Linked DNA regions of Drosophila melanogaster. The protein of the gene in region 1 interacts with the protein of each later gene in a pairwise test. Each region holds a gene or a part of one and is shown in the gene's direction. Other genes may lie near its edges.

Region 1 (4,161 bases):
TTCGTTATTCTGTTATTGTGCAATGTAAGAAATTGTTATTTACAGCCCGAAAATATGTGAAGCATATAAATCTGTTCGTTGGTTGCTCACCGTGTTCCTCTCTCTTTACGAGATAAGATAAACTTTAAAAAACAGCTCGTTGTTTGATATAGTAGCTGTGATGCGAAGGAAAGTCCCACATTTAAGTGACCGCCACTAGGGACACACATTTGATTGCTTTTATTGAAAAAATAGGGAAAAACTCGACTATTTAGGACACCTGCTGGTTAGCCGATATCCACGATATAAACGACGAGACCTGCACGTAAACCGACGGTGAGTTGGCCTGACCACAAGGTAACTTGCCCCAGGACACGATGCCAATAAGGACATTGCCCTGGACCAGTGGTCCGCCCGAATCCGAGGTGCAAATGCTAACGCCGCCAGTTAGAGGACCAGTGCACAGATTGGTCGAGTGGACATCGCTGCCCTTGGTGCCCAGGGCGCTTTCGCAGGAGCTCAGCGAAATGATAGGCACATTGGTGGCCACCTGCAGGGTCGACGGATAGGAGGCGGTATTCGTGGTGCTAGTGCTGCCCCATCCGTACAGATTGGCGGTGCCAGTGGGCACCACTCCCGAGGATGGTAGCGTCACTGGGGCAACGGCGGCGCTCCAAACGAAGGCGGTGGGCGTGTAGATCATTCCGATGTCATAGGGCACAGTTCCGCCGGTGTACAAGTCATTGATCACGAAGTACGTGATGCTCCGCGTCTGCGTAGTGCTTGCAGTTCCGTCCACCGCGATGCTTCCGGCCACCAAGGTGCTGCCCAGCACCTGGTTACTATTGGTCAGGCAGTGGGCAGCGGTGACTAGCCAGTTGGCATTCAGAATGCTGGCGGCACAGTAATGGGTGCCACCGTACTGCATGGACACCGCATAGGGAGCACTATTCACCGCTGCCGGAGATCCACCCACGACACGCCCCTCGGGTGCGCCGATAGCCACTCCGGATATTCGGCATATGCCCAGTAGGAGAAGAAGCCCACTGGCCAACGACTTTGTTTGCTGTCCGTTCGCTAACATAGTTTTCGCGGAACTGTTTACATCGACCTTTATCGCGGCACGTTTAAATTAATTCGCCATTCCAAAATTTTGCCAGCGCCAGCAGATAAGGCTTTCAATTAAGGACCGTGTGTTCTTCAGATAACCACTTATTATAATTTGAGATTAAGCGACGCCCGAACAGTGACTCTTTGACAGAAGTACGTCAAGTTCCACCGATAGGATGGGCAAATACCTACGCTCGTTTATCTAAAAACAAGCAAATCACTTTAGAGAGCTTTATATTTGAAAATCGCGTTATCACCTGTTAGTATTTCTTACACTTAGTATTCACTTTTTAATATGAAATAAAAAGTTAAGCAATTACCTTGTACTTCATCAGTATTTAAACATTTTAAGCAGGTAAATTTTAGTTAAAATTATTTAATAACGGTAACGAATATCAATCGATTTTTTTTTAAATCATAAAACATCGATTTAGTACAAATATGCGTTTATCGATAGCGTGGCAGAGAAATTGCTTTTGATTGCCACTCTGGTCACACAGCAACTGACTCAGAAGTTAAAGAAGAAGAAGCAGAGACCGTAATTTTTCCACGACTCAACCTAGCGATTTACCAAGCCATTCGAGCCGCAATTGAGTCTTTAGCCAGACGGAAAGCATTTAGAGCGTGTGTAATAGAGTGCGGCAACTTGAAAGCGGTGCATCCCGAGAAATCGCAGTGCGAAAGGGCCCCGAAAACCGCTGGCCCAGCCCCATTATAAACAGTGAGGAGGGGTGGAGATTGGTGAGAGCGGAGCGGAGCGAGAAGAGAGTTCAGCAAACCCGTAATTAAGAAAAAGTAGACACGTACGTTGAGGAAGATGTCATCCGGAGATTTTGGCAATCCGCTGCGGAAGTTCAAGCTCGTCTTCCTCGGCGAGCAGAGTGTGGGCAAGACCTCGCTGATTACGCGCTTCATGTACGACAGCTTCGACAACACGTACCAGGCGACGATCGGAATTGATTTCCTATCGAAGACCATGTACCTGGAGGATCGCACTGTGCGCCTGCAGCTGTGGGATACGGCGGGACAGGAGCGATTCCGCTCGCTGATACCCTCGTACATACGCGACTCCACGGTGGCAGTGGTCGTTTACGATATCACCAACACCAACTCGTTCCACCAGACCTCCAAGTGGATCGATGACGTGCGCACGGAGCGGGGTAGCGACGTCATCATCATGCTGGTGGGCAACAAGACGGATCTCTCCGACAAGCGTCAGGTGTCCACCGAGGAGGGTGAGCGCAAGGCGAAGGAGCTTAACGTGATGTTCATCGAGACAAGCGCCAAGGCCGGCTACAATGTGAAGCAATTGTTCCGACGGGTGGCCGCGGCACTGCCCGGCATGGATTCCACGGAGAACAAGCCCTCCGAGGACATGCAGGAGGTTGTGCTAAAGGACTCACCCAACGAGACAAAGGATCCCGAGGGCGGCTGCGCCTGCTAGAACCGGTTGAGCCGACGATCCAACCATCCTCTCCCCCTTTTTCAACAGCAGGAGCAGATGCAGATGCAGGAGATCGGCCAGCAGCACTGGTGTACACAGGTGTCAGGTGTATGTACTGGCCGGATCTGCGGCGGATTCCTCAACATCTATACACACATACACACTTTACGTTTAAGTTTATTTATAAAGTAACAAATGATAGCAAAGGCAAATAGACTAAACAACAATTAACGAAATCGGCTAACTAATTACTGTTAATTGACGAGCTAATCCCGAGCGCAGGCGAGTGCGAATGCTAACTCATTGACACGAGATCAGGGATCAAGATCAGAGTAATATTTGCGAGTTAGCTACCAGACAAGAATATAGTGTAGTGCATTTCCGATACCCCCTAAACCCTCTAAACGAAAAAAAACCCAAGACCATGTACTTATGTCAGGCCAGGCGGTCCCAGGATCCTCCGACATTCCAGCTCTCGGCATCTCCAGCAGTCGTAGATACCACGCAGCCAGTCTGTGTTCAATGATTCCACCAGCCAGGCATTTTGTTTCCAATTTTAGCCCCCGTTCTGTTCTGTTTGCGGCTTTTGTTTCGCCAGTTTTGGTTAGGATTTCGGTTTTTTTTTTAGCACAGCGAACGCGACTGCTAACTGGAACTGTGGATGGCATAGGACTTGGCCACGTGCATCTTATGAATAAATATACACAAATATAAAATATGTATTTTTATGACTAAAACTGAAACAGATAAGCAGAGCACGAGCAGAGCAAACACTTAACAATATTATTAACGATTTTTGCTTCGATTAGCGAGAGAACTTTGTGCATTTTTTACGCGAAAAGCAAAAGCTTACAAAATTGATAATTGAATAAAAACATAAACTATTGATGCAATTTTTAATAAATCAAATTATGAAAATGAAAAGTATACAAGATACTAGCAATAAATTAATACAAAAAAATAAATTCAAAACATGACTCATACGTTGTGGGTGCACGCACACCTTTCCCAAAAAGTTTTCCGCCAAATGTGGGCCGACTTATCTTATCATTCCAAATCGTTCCTGAATGGACTACAGCGCACCTCTGTGTCGGCATGACTAGTCCTCAATTGCTGACAAATTCCACTGATTCGTCAAGAAACTGGAGTGAAATAGGCGGCTTAAGGTGGATCAGAAAAATACGATTTTTAGTTGGGGAAGCTTAATAATCGTATATTGAATCGAATTGCTTTTATTTGATTGCATGCTCTTCTCTTCTATTTGAAACACCTTAAAATGTGTTTGGATTTGGTTTTTTATTTGTGAATTCCGGTTTCGTAAGCGTAAATACATAGAAAGAACAAAAATGCGTACTTGCTTTGCTATGCAAATGTTAAGTATACTTTTGATAAATAGTTCGAAATAGAGTCTTAGAAGCTGTCCTCGTTGGCGATGAATTCGTCGCGAATCTTTTGCAGCTTTGTGATGAGTTCCGCCACGGAGACCTCGCCGTGCACCTTGTTGTCCCGAGTGCGCACGTTAACGGTATTCGAGGAGCGCTCCTTGTCGCCCACCACCAGAATGAAGTTGAACTGGGCCAACTGAGCATTGCGTATCTTCTTGTTCATCGTGTCGCCGGCATCGCAAT
Region 2 (5,140 bases), on another chromosome or scaffold:
AAATCCGAGCACACTTTGTACTTTATATATCTGTGTATTTCGATTTGGTTTTTTGTTTTTCATCCGAGAACCACCAGCATCCCACTAATCGCTTATCCACAGCAACGAATGCAATAAATTACAAATCAATCTATCACTTTTTGTATCTCGCAGTGCAATATAAACAATTGCACTTATGTACAGATATGTATGTACAATCAATCACTCACACACCCGCACAACGCTTGACCCGCTGATTGTTTCTATTTACATATATGTATGTATATATGGGTAAGTGAGTATATAGATATGTATGTATGTACATATGGCACGATTGATAGCCGAGAGGCAAGCAAAATAAACCGAAAAACGCTCTCTGCACGTCCAAATAAACCGAAAGCTAGAACATAACTGACTGAAACTGCGATGCGACCGATTCAGAGCGACCAAAGGCAGAGCAGCAAACGGGCGGAAAACTCGGGCTCATCTGCGAGGAAAAAGGAAAATGCGCTCAGCAGATGTTACGCATTTCCCAATGCCGTACACAGCGAGAAAGCGGTCAGCAAACTCAGTTCATTGGCTACGAATAGAATACAGAAATATCTGTTGTATACTTAAGGGATTACATTTGTGTTCCCAATTCTTTTTCTTTTAAATTTTCATTTTCATTAGGAATCAGAATAGTAATAGTAAATCTAAAGATTATAATAAAAAAATGTATTAAACTTTGACTCTATTCAGCATTTGAAAAAGTGATGAAGCATACAATCTTAAAAATAAAAGTACATCTTATAAGAGTACCTTACAAATCTTATTTCATTTAAAATCGTAAATTAATCCAAATCACTTAATGTTTTTAAAAAACATTTTAAAATAAATATTGATGGAAATTTAGCTTTAAAATTTTTTTCAGTGCAGATGTATTATTGTTCCTCTCTTCGAATTTTTTGGGGTGGGTAATACGCCCATTGTACGCCTGTGCTTGTGAGTATGCCTCCCCCTATGGGGCCGAGCAGTACGGATGCGGGAGAGCTCCAGCTGAGAGCGTTAGTTCCCGATCACAGTGGGCACGATCACCATGTCACATGGCGATCATCTGCTGCGCACTCGCAGTTGCCAGGGATTTCGATGGATTTGCCACACAAGTCTTATTGGTAAGCTATTGTTTATGCTAGTGTTTTGGACTTACTCGTCTATGCTTTTGGACAGTGCCTCGGCTAGTTTGCGCAGGACCCTTCTGTCGATTTCGGCGGCGCCATTCTCCTCCAGGAAACTGGTCACGGTCTCAATTAAGGTGATTTCCTTCAAGGACGATGCACAGGTACCATTGCCGTCGCCGCAATAGTCCCGCAAAACCTGTTTAGACTGGTCCATGGGAGGTCCTCAAATAGTTAACTTTCGCACACAATAATTCTAACACTTGACAATTTCACAAAGGACGCTAACAATTACACTTTTTTTCTGTTTGGAAAATGAAGCGCGCTGGAACAGCTGTTTCTGGCGTCAGTTATCGAAATGCTGCCATGCGCACTGGCAGCACTGCCGTACAACGGGAAAAAGTTAACACAGCGGTATGGCAACGCTGTTCGTCGATTTACGTTACTGCAAAGTCGATTCTTATCGATGGTAAACAACATCGACGGTTTACGAAAATTAGCATTCGCCTGATAAGCAAGTAGAACACTACGGCCACCAGATATAACGCCATGCTATAAACGCTCTGTGGGCACGTTTTCGTCAGCCCCAGCCACAAGCAGGCCAACTTCAGTCGGGGGCAGTACACATACAGAAAATAGAGCAGCGCAACAGAGAAAAAGCTCCCCCCTCGAAAAACCTAACAATGTTTGCTACACTGAAAAACAAGATCAAGGAGGAAACTGGCGATGATGTGGTCCAATCAGCCAATCAACGTTATCCCGGCAACAACAACAACAATTACCGGCTACGTAGTCGCCGCGTTAGCATTAATTCCAACTCAGCTGATGATGTGGGCGGTGGCGGATTCTACAATGAGGTAAACTGAGCGAAAAAAAAACAGTCTATTTGTGTATACTTACACATTAAACAAAAACACGGATAAACAAACACCTTCACTCTTTTCGCAGTCGGAGCAATTGTGCGAGCTGCGAAGTCAGTGCAACGAGCTCACCACGAAGCTGTCCACCGTCACGCAGGGATTGCAGCAGCTGCAGGAGGAGAAGACGCGCGTGGACAAGACCAACGAGATTCTGCTAGAGAGTGTGCGTGTGGCCCAGACGCAGAAGGACATATACTGCGAGGAGCAGGAGAAGATTCAGAATCTACAGCAAATCGAGATTGACAAGCTGAAGAATCTGCTTAGCTTTCGGGAGCAGGAGTCGGTGGATCGCATGGGTCTCATGCGCCAGCAGACCCAGCAAATCGAGTCCTTGAGCGAGGAACTAGAACGTCTGCGTCCCATTGAATCCGTGGCCGAAGATTTACGCGACGAACTAGAGCAACTGCGACATTCTACACAGCAGGAGAAGAATCTGCTGACCACAACACTGGCGGCTGTACAGGAGGAGAACCGGCACCTCAAAAAGCGCATGAAAATCGTCGAGGAGTCGCGACTCGAGTCTCTGGGCAAACTGAACTCCGAGCAACAAGTGCAAGCCCTTATCCGGGAACATAAACTGCTGGAACAGCACTTAGAGGAGGCCCATCTGCAGTTGTCGGACATCAAAGGCTCGTGGAGTGGCCAGAATCTGGCGCTGGAAACCCAAGTTAGTCGTCTATCCAAGCAAGTGGCCGAAGAGACCACCGAAAAGCGAAAGGCCCTTAAATCCCGCGACGATGCCATTGAAAGCCGCAAGCAGGTATCATTCGAACTCGAAAAAGCCAAAGATGAAATAAAGCAGCGGGACGATAAGGTAGGTTAGATAGTAATACCTATGTGCCAATACTTATGCACTTTAATTGCAGGTCAAGCTGCTGGAGGAGGAAATCGATGAACTTAGTGTGGCCCTGAAAGAGTGCCGAGAGGAGAACGAGCAGCAAGTCCTCTTTGAGCGCAATAAATCTGTGAGTATGCCTCCCGATTCTGACGATTTCCATTGGGACTTGTAACACTAATTTAACCAACAATGCAGTACTAACTCTACCAATTAAGCTCCTGGTTTACTTGGAATTTTCCAACCACACCTATTATGTAGTTTTTGATTGTAAATGTTTTCCTTTTCGTATTAAACTGATTTAATCGTTGGCAAACTTTTTGGTAAACTTTTTCCTTCAATAATGCACGCATATATATGTTTACCCTCAATATCCAAAACTGATTGATGGAGATTTTGTAAACCAATAAACCGAATGTTCTCAGCAAAATTTGGAAACAGAGGTAAAAGATCTCAAGACTCGTCTCACGGCAGCGGATGACAGGTTCAGCGAGTACTCCTCGAATGCCGAGCAGGTGGCCCAAAAGCTACGGGTTCAGGTGACTGAAAAGCAGGAGCAGCTGGACGAAACCATAATGCAACTGGAAATCGAACGAGAGGAGAAAATGACTGCAATACTTCGCAATGCGGAAATCGCCCAGAGCGAAGACATTTTACGGCAACAGCTGCGCTTGGAGCGCAGCGAAGCCAGCGACCTCCAGGAGAGGAATAATCAGCTGGTGAGGGATATATCCGAGGCACGGCAAACGTTGCAGCAGGTCAGCAGCACAGCACAGGATAATGCCGACAAGTTGACCGAATTCGAGCGAGTTCAGTTGGAAATAATCGAAAAGAATAAGGTTAGATTTGTTATGAATGGTTTTGGCAAATTTTATTAACCAATTTTCTGTCTAGACAATAAAAACACTGAATCAGCGTTTGATTGACTTGAAAAAAACAGTGCAGAAGGAACTACGCAGTGCGCAGATATCCACGGACAGTGAATCTCATCCGACAACGACACCAGGTCACAGAATCTCAAGTTCATCGCTGGAGGCATTTTCAACTGGCGACAAGGGAAATTGCGTCATAATGGACGAAGTTAATTTTCAATATTTGAAACACGTAATTGTTAAGTTCTTGACCAGTCGCGAGGTATGCAATTTCATCTGTTTCCTGTATAATTAATTCGATTTCATGTTTGTTTCTTTAGGTGGAAGCTCGCCATCTTGTTCGTGCCGTATCCACATTACTTCAATTGACAACCGAGGAGGAAAAGCTGCTACACGACACATTGAATTGGAAGATGAGTTGGTTTGGCATGAAACCAACTTAAGTAGCCACAGCAATACATCACATTTGTACTCTAATCTATAGTCAATTCATAACGTTCGTGTAATATGTACATACCAATTGCATACGCAGCACTGTGTTATTTTGTTTACCAACAACATTCCATTTTGTTGAATAGTATTTATTTCTACCGTTGTGATTTTTATAATAAACTAACATTTATGTAAAATGCCGTTTTTCATTTAGTAAATCTTAGTCATCCGTGCATTTGTCTTGAAGGAAAGAAAGACTATTCAACTATTTGAAAGACTATTCAAATCCATATCATTTTTTATAAAATCGAATTTACCATCGTTAGGTAGAATGTGTGTATAATACATACATTTTACTTTACACGATATTAACTTCCACTCTACATTACCTGGTGGCGCCATCTAGGAGTCCCGGTTAGACAATTAAAAAACCATTAATAAAAGTCAATATTTAATTTTTAAAAATACTGCATTTTACAATTAAAAATATTGTTTGTTACATTTTACGTTCACTAAAATTAACTATAAATATGAATTTACTTCAATTTGTTTATTGCAAAGACCTACGTCGTATGAATAACTAACTATTCATTTGTATTATCTATGAATAAATGATATAGGAGGATTAAAGATTAAACAAAAAACACACGTATTAATGAGGCACTTTTTGGTGTTTATAACAATTAAGAAGACAGTTCAATTAGTCGCATATTCGTCAATATTGCTTCATAATATAGTTATCTATTTACACTTTTTAAACTAAATATTAAACTAAGTCTAGGCGTTAAATGCATTTAAATCAAAATTGCGTACTTAGGTTTTAACCAATTGTGAATTTTCTGTCAGGTTTCGGAAAATTTGGCACACGGAATTTCAAAAGACTGTCTCACCTATCGAATATTACATCATTTATACCTAAGGTAATTGCTAATAATCTGCAGTCTA
Region 3 (4,870 bases), on another chromosome or scaffold:
AGCTTTGAACATCTCCTGAAATTCGGAAAATCAGATTGCTTGAGTTTTCTGGGGAGTTCTAGGTGTATTTCTGAATGAGTCACTTACCGGATCGTATATGACCTTGATGACTAGGGAGCAGCTGGGACAGGTGGCCACCTCCTCGCCCTCGATTAGCTCCTCCTAAAGTGGAAATTTACCAAGTGATATGGGGAGTCCAGAAAAAAAAAGGTTGCGTATACGACTCGTTACCTTGGAGATCTGAAATCGATCGCCGCATGGACAGGGATAGTAGTACATCTCCTCCTCCTCGTCGTACTCGAAGTCCTCGATCTCCACCTCGTCGTGATAGATGCTCATGACGTACCTTCAGCTTAATTCAGCGCCTAAAGGTCATATTATATTTGAGTTTTTTTTGCGATAACTTAGATTAATCCACGCCAAACAAATGGGCACGTTGTGTTGCGGGGCTGCCAACTCGTTGCAGCGAACAGCTGATCCAGTAAACAATTGCAAATGTTTTATTTGGACATTTTTGGACCGCCGGCTGCAGTTGTGAAATAAGTCTCGTATAAAATAGTATATTTTAGCTAACTTTTGCCCAAAAAAGACAAACTGCAAAACAAACCCATGTTCCAGTTGTTGAATAAGGAGTAAAATAAGACTAAATGGCTAGCAAAAAGTACAGTGACGTGAATCTTTACGATCTTCTGGGCATTTCTCTCGAGTCTGATCAAAATGAGATACGCAAGGCGTACCGCAAGAAGGCCCTCGAGTGCCATCCCGACAAGAATCCGGACAATCCGAAGGCAGTCGAGCGCTTCCATGAGTTGTCCAAGGCTCTGGAGATCCTCACGGATGAATCCGCGCGCGCAGCTTATGACAAAGTGCTGAAGGCCAAGAAGGCGGCGGAGCTGAGGAGTCGCCAACTGGACGGGAAGCGGCAGAAGCTGAAGCTGGAACTGGAGGAACGTGAACGGGCGGCACTGCACAAACTGGCGAAGAGCCAACCCTACAGCACGGTGGCCAAAAGCGACGAGGAGGTGCTGCATGAGCAGATCGAGCGGTTGCGACGCGAGGGCTCCCGTCTGCTGGAGGAGGAGCAGCGAGCCATGCAGGAGCAGTTCCGGCGGAATCACGCGGAGCAACAGAAACTGCAGCAACAGCCGGTCCAGTTTGATTCCGCCCAGCATCGCATCAAGATGAAGTGGAAGGCCGAACCTGGCCAGGATTACACACAGCAAGAGCTGCTCAAGTATCTGAAGAAGTACGGCGACGTGGTGGCCCTGGTGGTCAACAGCAAGCGACGCGGACGCGCCATGGTGGAGCTGGCCACGCGCGAAGCCTGCGACATGGTCTTGGCCTACGAAAAAGGCGATCCCGCCAAGCCGCTGCACTTCGAGTGGGTAACGCCGCCGGCGGCAGACAAGCAGACAACCAAATCGGCCACCACTGGGTGCAGTGCGTCATCCACCGACTACGAGGACCTGGTCATGCGAAAGCTGCGCCAAGCTGAGGAACGTAAGAGACTCATTGAGCAGATGATGAAGGACGAGGAGGGCGAATGAAATAAGATTTAGTTAGGCTCAACATTTAATTTACTTTAATTGGACTAATATTAATGTTTGAAAATATCTCAATTTAGCAACTATGCAGCTGATTTATAATACATTTACATTTAAAATAGTTTTTAATTTATGTAAATTTGGTTATTAATTATTTTTTGAAAAACCGCAAAAATAAAAAAAAGTTTAAATCAGAATGATGGCAATTTTTAGTGCCTGAGCAAACATGACAAGTTGGCAGGCCCGCGTGCCAGCTGCTGAAATTTGTTAATTAAAAGAAATGCAAAAATGACACGGGAGATAAATAAATTGAACTACTAAGCGAACTGAAAGTAAATGAACTAATTCCCTTTCAAGGCGAAATGGAGAAGCGACAGAGGGAGCTGGAGGCGCTGGTGTCCACCCAAAAGGAGCAACTGGGGCGCTATGAAAAGCGTCTAAAAGGTGAGACATAGATGAATTCGCAATGCAAATGGATTAATGAGCCCAATTTGTAGACGTGGTCACTGCCTACAAGGGTCTGCTTAAGGAGAAGGAGGCATTGGAGACGAGTCTGGCGGCGCATGCGGAGGCCACGGCGGTGGGCGAGTCCGGATCGCCGGCCAGGGAGTTGGAGTCCAAAAAAACCAGCACCGACTCTGCGGATGGAGCAACCGAGGGCGCTGCACCGGGTCCGCCTGCTCCCCCGGCCGAGGGTCAACTGCAGACCCAAATTATCACCCTGATGAACTCGCTGGCCACTCTTTCCGCTGAGAAATCCCGCATGGAGGCCTCCTTTCAGGCGGATAAAAAGCAACTGCGCAGCCAAATCGCCCAAAAGGAGCAGACCATTCAGGAGCTTAATACCCGGGCCAAGGAGCAGGCTGCTCGGGCCAAAAGCGACGTGGACGAGATCAAGGCCAAGTGGATCGTGGAGCGACAGGAGCGCGAGAAAGAGACCAACAACCAAATGCTCATGATCCGCGAACTGCAGAAACTCTATGCGGACGAGCGGCATCTAAAGGACAACATTGAGATGCAGTTAAACAACTTCAAGACCCAGTTCGCCAGCAACGAGGCAGAGAATAGCCGGCTACGGGAATTGCAATCCCAGCTAAAGGAGGCTCGCTCCCAGCTGAAACAGTTCCAGGCCAAGACCGAGCACTCTGCAGCAGCGTCAGCGAGTGCGGACAGCGCCGCTCTCCTTCAGCAAGTGCGCCTTGAGATGCAGCAACTGAAGGAGCAGCATGCAGTGGCCATTCGTCAGGAACAGCGTCGCGTGCTGCGTGCCGAGGAACAGAGTCGCAGGCAGGCGGCGCTGCACGAGGATCGCGTGGCCAGTCTAGAGGCACGCCTGGCGGAGCTCAGCACCACTGTCGGCAGCTACGACCGCCTGCGTCAGCAAGATCAGGACAGCATCCATGATTTGAAGCAGCAGCTGCAGGATCTAGAGCAGGCACATGTGCGTCCAACATCCAATTCAAGGGCGCTAAACGAAGATGTGGACGTAGCCACGCTGGTTGACGAGATGGTGCGCTTGAAGAAACTGCTTACCACAGCCAATGCCCGTTCTGCCAATCCACTGGATCTCGGGGAGATCCTATCATTTAGCGGCCAAACAGCTACCCGAGTCGAGAGTCACGCCCACTGCGAGCAACAGCTTCAGGGTGTGCAGCAAATGCTCGAGGCATCCAAGCAGCAGCGACAGCTACTCGAACAGAAGGTGCAGCTGCAGCACTCGCACATCCAAACGCTGCAGGAGAAGGTGCAGGTGCTCAATCGCAACATCGACGAGGCGGAAGTCGAACTAAAGCAGCAGGGCGAAAAGCTGCGCCTGGCATTGAAGAACGAACGAACCAAGTGGCAGGAAGCCAAGGCTGAACTGGAGAACGAGACGCGCTGCAAACTGAACGAGCTGGAACAGCTACTGCAGAAGCAGCGCCAGAGGTCACTGCAGCTGCTGGATGAGAAGGAGCAGGAGATTAAGACACTGCAGACCTCCTTCGAGGTCTTTCACTCGGCCAGCGGTGTGGGCAGCACACTGGCCACACCCACACTTGAAGCAGCTGCCGATTCCTTTCACTATTCCTCCGACACCGACAGCGTGGAGGGGGAGCAGCGGGAAAGAAAGCTAAAGGTGCGCTCCAAGAAAATGTCGATGGGCGAGAACTGCCACATGCTGCACTATGCCAACGAGTTGGCGCGCAAGGACATCGAAATCACGACACTGCGGAAAGCCAAATACGCCGCCGAGTCGACGCTGCGAAAGGCGATCCAGGACAAGGTGACATCTCAGCAGGAAATGCACGAGAAGATCGAGTGCCTCAAGGAGCAGGTGGACAGGTGCGTCGTTGTCGTTGTTATCGTTGTTGTCTTAGAAAGTCATGCCACGATCTCTACTCCCATTCTAGACTCGAACGTTGCAAGACGCGCGAGGGTGCCAATCTGGAGTACCTGAAGAACGTTATTATCAGCTACATTGTTACCCGGGACGCGGACGGCAAGCGTCACATGCTGAACGCCATCTCGGCGGTGCTCCAGTTCACCGCCGCAGAGATGCAGGCGATCAATGCATCATTCCAGAAGAAATAACATTCGTACTTTTGTTCAACAATCATGTGCAACATATTTAAAACCCTACAAACAGATCCTAAATAGATAACTAACTAAATCCGACGACTGGGTATTTGTCTAGGTGGGCAGCTAGCACGCCGGGAAACATGGCCAGGAACTTAAAGCGAGTGCCCATCTGGGCTGGATCCGTGAGCATCTCGTAGCCGGAGCGAATGATCTCCTGGTTTTCGGGCAGCGCATGTGCCAACAGTTGCTCCAGTCGAGCCTCACCCTGCATTCGCTGCAGGAACAGTCCCTGCTCCACGGGACCGCAGCAGTGGACATTTCCGCGTGTCTCGGCAATGTGCCGCACTAGCTTGAAGTCCACATCGGCCGTGAGATCAGCACTGCCCGGCTCCACCAGCGGATCGTGCAGCTTGTGCTGCTTGAAGGCCCGGAAAGTGTCGGTTTTCTCGCCAAAATGGCCATAATCCATGATTAGAGCGATGCCGCCATCCCGTTCGATGCGCTCGGCGAGCAGTCCCACCTGTCGTTCCGTCTCCAGGGAGTGCTCCAAACAGGATCGTGTCTCGCCGGGCAGCGGTCGATAAAGACTCGAAACGGGTGTTTGGCTACGTGAGAGCACATATCGGAAGCTAGCTTCTTGTGCGCCATCAGAGGATGCCACATCGATGAGCACCTCCTGCCACTTGCCATCTACGAGTTGGAGCTTGTGCACAGGCAGGGCGTCGAAGAACTCGTGGGCGAGAACTAGGGAGAATCCCTGGGGCACA
Region 4 (5,812 bases), on another chromosome or scaffold:
GCGAATGCGGACTGCTGCCGGACGAGGTGATCGATCCCTGTTGCTGCTGCTGCTGCGCCTGCTGCTGTATATCCGGCACGGAGCTGAGACTCCGCGCCCGCTGGCGATCGATGGACGTGGAGTTTTGGTTGTGGTACACCTGCAGGCCGGGCAAAGTGCGCAGCAGATTGAAACCCTGACCGGTGGTATCATTGCCGCCACCGCCGCCGCCGTTACCGCCACGATTCTGGCCGGGATTCGAGTGCTGGTGTTGCTGCTGCTGCAGCGCAGAATCGGCGGCTCCTGTTGAACTGCTCGAGAATGTCCTGGAGCGTGGGCTCTGTTGGCCACTGGTCGCCGGAGTGCTCGCCTTTTGACCCATAGATGCTGATGGAATTATTAACTGGGCGACGAACCTTTGACCACCTGCGCCTGCTCCAGCTGCTGCTCCTGCTGCTGCTCCAGCAGCGCCTTCTGCAATTCTCCGCCTCCGCGAGGCGTCCTCTTTGTCTGCTCCTTCGCGTGCGAAAAACGGAGCAGACAACAATAGCAAACAATGCGATGTGCGATTTGCGATGTGCGGATGATAAATGCGGTCGCTTTTTTGTCGCTCGCTTGATAAGTGTATGTGTGTGCGTGCTTGTGTGTGTGTGTGCGAGTGTGTGTGTGTGTGAGTGTGTTTTGGTGTTTGTGCCAAAAGTGATGGTGCTCGTGGAGTGGATGGGGGGCGGGGGTGGGAGTAGGTGGCAAGGACGGGGGGCGGGCGTCAATCGGTGCGTAGTTGAGTCGCGATTGTTATTGTTGCTGCCCCGTTTTCTTGTCCTCCGCCTGCTGATTCCGGGGACTCAGATGTTTCAGATGTTTCAGATGCTCAGGTGTTCAGTTGCTCTGGTTCTCCGGTATATTTGGAACTCGAGTCGGCTCTGCGGTCGCCGGATGATGACTCCCGATGACAACCGATGACTGATGGATGATGGGCACTAGCTGCTCCTGCGCCTGCTACTACTTGCTACTTGCCACTTGCAACGGGCTCCTGCTGCCTAATCCTATGGAATCGGATCCAAACGCTACGCGGTGCACTACTGCTGCTCTCGCCGACTAAAAAATAGGTGTGACGCGACACGACGCTGCTGGCCAATCTGCCTTGATTACACTCTCAATTTAAATGACCGTTTTCCATATTTTTTTTTAATTTTTTTTTATACATTACATTAAAAGAGTTTCTCGATATCAACAGAGGCGTTAGTCCAATTGGGAGGGCCAATCGATTGTCGACGGGTATTCTAATAAGAATGGTGTCGGTATTGTGTAGGCACCTAGCTGAGACATGAACCTAGATGGGGTATTCTTCATTTGCGCATTTATAAAATATAAATTTTAAAGTATCATTTTAATATTTTTGTTTCACCTACATGAGGTATTCGCTTTTTTCTTTCTCAAATTTATCAAATTCTTTTGCATCGATTCAATGTTAAGTTAGTATGTACTGAAACTGCACAAAACTAAAAAATTATAATTTCTAATATTAGCTAGATTTTGTGTGTTACTTAGTTCACAATGGTTTGATTGGAAATCAATTAAAAAACAAATAGTAGAATATATATGTTTAAAAAATGCATTTTCATTGCACCGTGTGCTCACTGTAGTGCACGACCGGTGGTCACACAGCTGGCCTATCGATAGCCGACTATAGTTATCGGGGCTGAGTTGAGTTGTTGAAAACACAATTCCAATTGGCCATTAAATAGTCAAATCCGCAGCTTCCCAAAACATCAGGGACTTGCATGTGCCTCCCAAGGAGCAGGAGATTGCAGCAGGAGCAGCCGGAGCAGCAGGAGTGCGATCTGGACTAGGACTCAATTCGCCCAAGCTACTGCGGCGACGTCAACAGCAATATTGATACAGTGGCACTTGGGGCTGCGTTTCCACATCCGCACCGAAGATGAGCTGGTTCGAAAAGGCCAAAACGGTGCTAATTGAGGCGCTGGACATCCAGGATGACGACAGCAAGGCGGCGGAGAAGGACTCGCCGATGGCAGGAGCTGCGAGCGATGGTGGCGCATCGCCTGGGAACAATGCAACGGCGGAGACACCTGGATCCGCTGCCACGCCCGCTTCGGATACGCCAACATTCTTTGACAATCCGCATGCCAACGAAATGGTGACCATTCCACCCACACCCACATCGGTGCCAGGAAGTGCCGCCTACGGCAAACGGCAGTCAGCCACCTCGGATTCGGTGGATCTGCTGTCCTCCCCAACCTCGCCCATCTCGCCCTGCGGCGGCGATGTCCCCTCGGTGGCCAAGCGCTTGTCTGAATCCTCGCTAGAACTCATAACGGCCACCACGGCCAGCGAAGTGGAGATGTCACCGGACACGGAGCCCTCCTTGCCCGACAGCATTGTGATAATCGCCAGCAATGACACATCCGACAATGCCGAGGGTGATGGCGAGGATGATGACGATGAGGGCACCCAGCTGAAGCGCCACATGGAGGACCACTTGAATGGTATTGGGCCTTGTCGCAATTCTCTTTTTTGTATCGTTTGCTAACTGTGTAAACCTTTCCCTCTGCAGACTCCACCAAAACCATGAAGGCTCTGGTCCTGAGCGACATCCAGGTAGCCGGTAATGCTGACTCCGATTCCACGCAGAGCTTCGAGGACATCCAGCTGCAGATGAGCCACAAGGGCAAGTCGCCCGCTCCGGCCAAGACGGGAACGGTGGACCAGAGCTACTCGTCCACCTCATCGGACATCGAGATCATCTCAAATCCGAATGGCGACTCCAGCACCAACAGCACCACCACGCGCACCAGCCCGCAAAAATTCAAGGAGCTCGCGGGCGGCAAGGTGTGCCTAAAGGCCAAGGGACATCATCGCGAGCCCTCGGAGATCTCGCTGCTGTCGGAGGACTCACAGTCGGAGCTGGATAAGCTGGTGCAACGCATCAGCGAGCTGAACCAGGTGATTGAGGCGCGGGAGCAGCGACTATTGCAATCAGAGCGCCAGAATGCCGAGCTCCTCGAGCGCAACCAGGAGTTGCGCGCTCGCGTCGAAGCGGCAGCCAATAGCGCCAACAGTCCGGATGCGGCGGATGCAGTGCAGCGTCTGTCGGCGCTGGAGAAGAAGTTCCAGGCCAGCATACGCGAGCGCGATGCCCTGCGCATCCAAATGAAGAGTCTGCGCGATGAGCTGCAGAACAAGATACCCAGGGATGAGCTAGCCGAATGCAACGAAATGATCGCCGCCCTGCAGTCCGAGGGTGAGAAGCTGTCCAAGGAGATCCTGCAGCAGTCGACGATCATCAAGAAACTGCGCGCCAAGGAGAAGACCTCGGACACGTTGCTGAAGAAGAACGGCGAGCAGATCTCGTTGCTGTCCAGCGAATCGGAGCGCCTCAAGAGATCCCTAGCCGCCAAGGAGGAAATGGAGCGCACGCAAATCGAGGCAGTTTGCCGGATGACGGCGGAGAAGAAGCGCGTGGATGAGGAGAACGCCGAGAGCCGCAGTCGCATCGAAGATCTTCAGTCCAGACTAGCTGCCCTGCAAGCCAGTTTCGACGGCCTAAAGGGAGATCTGCAGAAGCGCACGCGCCTGGAGCAGGACAGTCTGCGTGCCGAGCATCAGGAGTACGTGCAGCAGGTCTCCGATCTGCGCGAGAAACTGCGCCTGGCCGAGCACAGCCTGGCCAGAAGGGAGCAGCAAATGCGCGAGGAGAACCGCCAGCTAATGCGTCGCCTGGAAGCCGCCGAGCTGCGGGCGGAGAGCTCTACTCAAGAGCTGGGTGCCACTACCACGCCGTTGATACGACAGATCGAGTCGCTGCAGCGTACACTGGACCAGCGATCCGCTGCCTGGAACCGCGAGGAGCAGCAGCTCCTCCAGAAACTGGACGACTCACAGGTGCAACTGCGCTCGCTGCAGCAATTGGAATCCGTACAGGGCGAGAAGCAGGAGCTGCTGCGCACCCGTTGCGGCCTGCTGGAGGAGAAGCTGTCCAGTGCGCTAATGGAGGCGGAGGCCGCCAAGATGGCACTGCGTCAGCACGATCTGGAAGCGGCCAACAAGGAAAACGATCACAAAAAGTGCGTGCCATTAAACCTTGTATTGATTTACCCATTTTTAATATCTACCCATGCAAATATATTTCTAAACTAACAGACAATTGAGCCTGCTGCAGGAGGAGATTCAGCAGCAGCAGGAGAGGATTGCGAGTCTGGAGCAATTGTGCCAGCGGCAAAAGGAAGAGGAGGAGCAGCGGAAACAGCCCACGCTGCTGACAGTGAAGGCGGTCAAGGCTAGCAGTGAGTTGCAGCCACAGCTGCAAATGCAGCTGCCGAAATCCCAGGCACCACTGCGCTCCTCACCGCCCCTCAGTTTGGTGGACGACAGTGGTTCCAACGAGGAGGCCCTGGGCGGCATGATCGACTGGCAGGCGGTAATGTCGCCTAATCTTTCAAATGAAGAACCTTCTTAAGTTTCTAATTCACTTTCAAATTCAGGACGACCTCGATTGCGCTTCCAACTCGGGTCGCCAGCAATCGGGCATCATCCAAGGTGTACACCTGAGCTTTCTGGCGGCCAACACAACGACCTTTGAGCACCTGCAGGCTCTGCTCAAGCAGCGCGACGGGGAGCTGACCCACCTGCAGTGGGAAGTGTCGCGCCTGCAAGCAGAGCGAAGCGTTCTCGACGCCGAGATATCCAATCTGACCATCGAGCTGGAAACGGTAGGAGAATAGCCCATCTTGACAAGAGATAATAATGAATACTATTCGTCCAATGGTAGATGAAGGAGAAGCAGCAGATGTACGAGGTAATGGAGAAGGGATACGAGGATCTGCAGCATCGCTACGACGCCCTGCTCCAGATGTACGGCGAGAAGGTGGAGCGCACCGAGGAACTGGAGCTGGATCTGACCGAGCTGAAGGCGGCCTACAAGCTGCAGATCGACGAGCTGCTGGCCGCCCCGCCACCCAATCTGCAACGGCCGTCGAAGCAAACATGATTGCCGGAGCGCAGGATCGTCTCCCTGCCCGAGTTGCCATGTTTGCGACGGACGTGGCCACCGTAACGTTGCCCATCTCCGTCTCCCATTCCCAGTTGTAATGTATTATGCTTTCAATACTAATCGATACGGATCCGGTATGGGGAACCCACTTCCAAGTCCCAATCCACCCAAAACAACAAAAAAAAAACCAACACATGTACATGCGAGTATATATATTACCTATGATTTGCGTATGCTGACACCTTCTAGTTATATTATAAATTGATCGATTGTGATAATTTAATTTATATTTATATATACATAAAGTTATCGTCTATGACTATGTACAAAACTGTTTCTGTTCCGAGCAGTTTGCCAGGCGGTTGTGAAGCAGCCAGCAGAAGCAACAGCCTCTTCCAAATACATCAAATATCATTTAATACAAAGTAATCACAGGGACTCCCGCAGGATGTCCTTAATGGCCTGGGTTAGCGGAAATACAGGTTTCTCGCTGTATTTCAAGTTTGGCATAATGCTGCATGAGTTCTTGAGATCATCGGTGTTCAGCGAGAAGACCATGACGCCACCCAGATTGAGGGATTTCACATAGTTCGCCTTGCAGGCGATACTCGTTTGATTTTCGTACGATATCCACTCCTGCAGAGCGCTCAAATATGGCGAACAGCTCTCGGCATCGTAGGACAAGTTTGGCTTGAAGAACTTGGTGACACACTCACAAGTTTCGGTCAGTGTGGTGAAGCCCAGTTGGCCACATTTACCGTAACCGGAAGCAGGAGCTCCTATGCGATGATTTAAAGGATTAACCAACCTGTTTGGTGG

Evidence for each region.
Region 2: the proteins of Rab6 (region 1) and Golgin97 interact in a two-hybrid assay, tested with the Drosophila melanogaster proteins (2 studies listed by BioGRID).
Region 3: the proteins of Rab6 (region 1) and GCC88 interact in a two-hybrid assay, tested with the Drosophila melanogaster proteins (2 studies listed by BioGRID).
Region 4: the proteins of Rab6 (region 1) and Tmf interact in a two-hybrid assay, tested with the Drosophila melanogaster proteins (2 studies listed by BioGRID).

Annotation. Positions count from the first base shown.
Region 1 is NT_033779.5:12,106,545-12,110,705, reverse strand, and holds Rab6 (Rab6), read left to right. Parts: upstream 1-1,589; 5' UTR 1,590-1,906; coding exon 1,907-2,533; 3' UTR 2,534-3,485; downstream 3,486-4,161. Other genes in the region: Phae1 (phaedra 1), read right to left, coding at 251-1,063; ThrRS (Threonyl-tRNA synthetase), read right to left, coding at 3,944-4,161. UniProt on the Drosophila melanogaster protein: Protein transport. Regulator of membrane traffic from the Golgi apparatus towards the endoplasmic reticulum (ER). Mediates membrane trafficking during egg chamber growth and organization, possibly upstream of exocyst component Sec5.
Region 2 is NT_033778.4:13,449,006-13,454,145, forward strand, and holds Golgin97 (golgin 97), read left to right. Parts: upstream 1-1,580; 5' UTR 1,581-1,819; coding exon 1,820-1,993; intron 1,994-2,084; coding exon 2,085-2,870; intron 2,871-2,922; coding exon 2,923-3,021; intron 3,022-3,316; coding exon 3,317-3,730; intron 3,731-3,785; coding exon 3,786-4,025; intron 4,026-4,083; coding exon 4,084-4,206; 3' UTR 4,207-4,388; downstream 4,389-5,140. Other genes in the region: cnn (centrosomin), read right to left, coding at 1,169-1,353.
Region 3 is NT_033777.3:11,227,486-11,232,355, reverse strand, and holds GCC88 (GRIP and coiled-coil domain containing 88 kDa), read left to right. Parts: upstream 1-1,755; 5' UTR 1,756-1,906; coding exon 1,907-1,988; intron 1,989-2,041; coding exon 2,042-3,866; intron 3,867-3,934; coding exon 3,935-4,115; 3' UTR 4,116-4,185; downstream 4,186-4,870. Other genes in the region: Dph3 (diphthamide biosynthesis 3), read right to left, coding at 1-15, 88-162, 232-339; CG17187 (uncharacterized protein), read left to right, coding at 648-1,547; CG17726 (uncharacterized protein), read right to left, coding at 4,186-4,870.
Region 4 is NC_004354.4:6,842,686-6,848,497, forward strand, and holds Tmf (TATA element modulatory factor), read left to right. Parts: upstream 1-1,655; 5' UTR 1,656-1,921; coding exon 1,922-2,489; intron 2,490-2,557; coding exon 2,558-4,067; intron 4,068-4,143; coding exon 4,144-4,420; intron 4,421-4,484; coding exon 4,485-4,712; intron 4,713-4,771; coding exon 4,772-4,990; 3' UTR 4,991-5,162; downstream 5,163-5,812. Other genes in the region: CG14435 (uncharacterized protein), read right to left, coding at 1-361; Cht11 (chitinase 11), read right to left, coding at 5,423-5,801.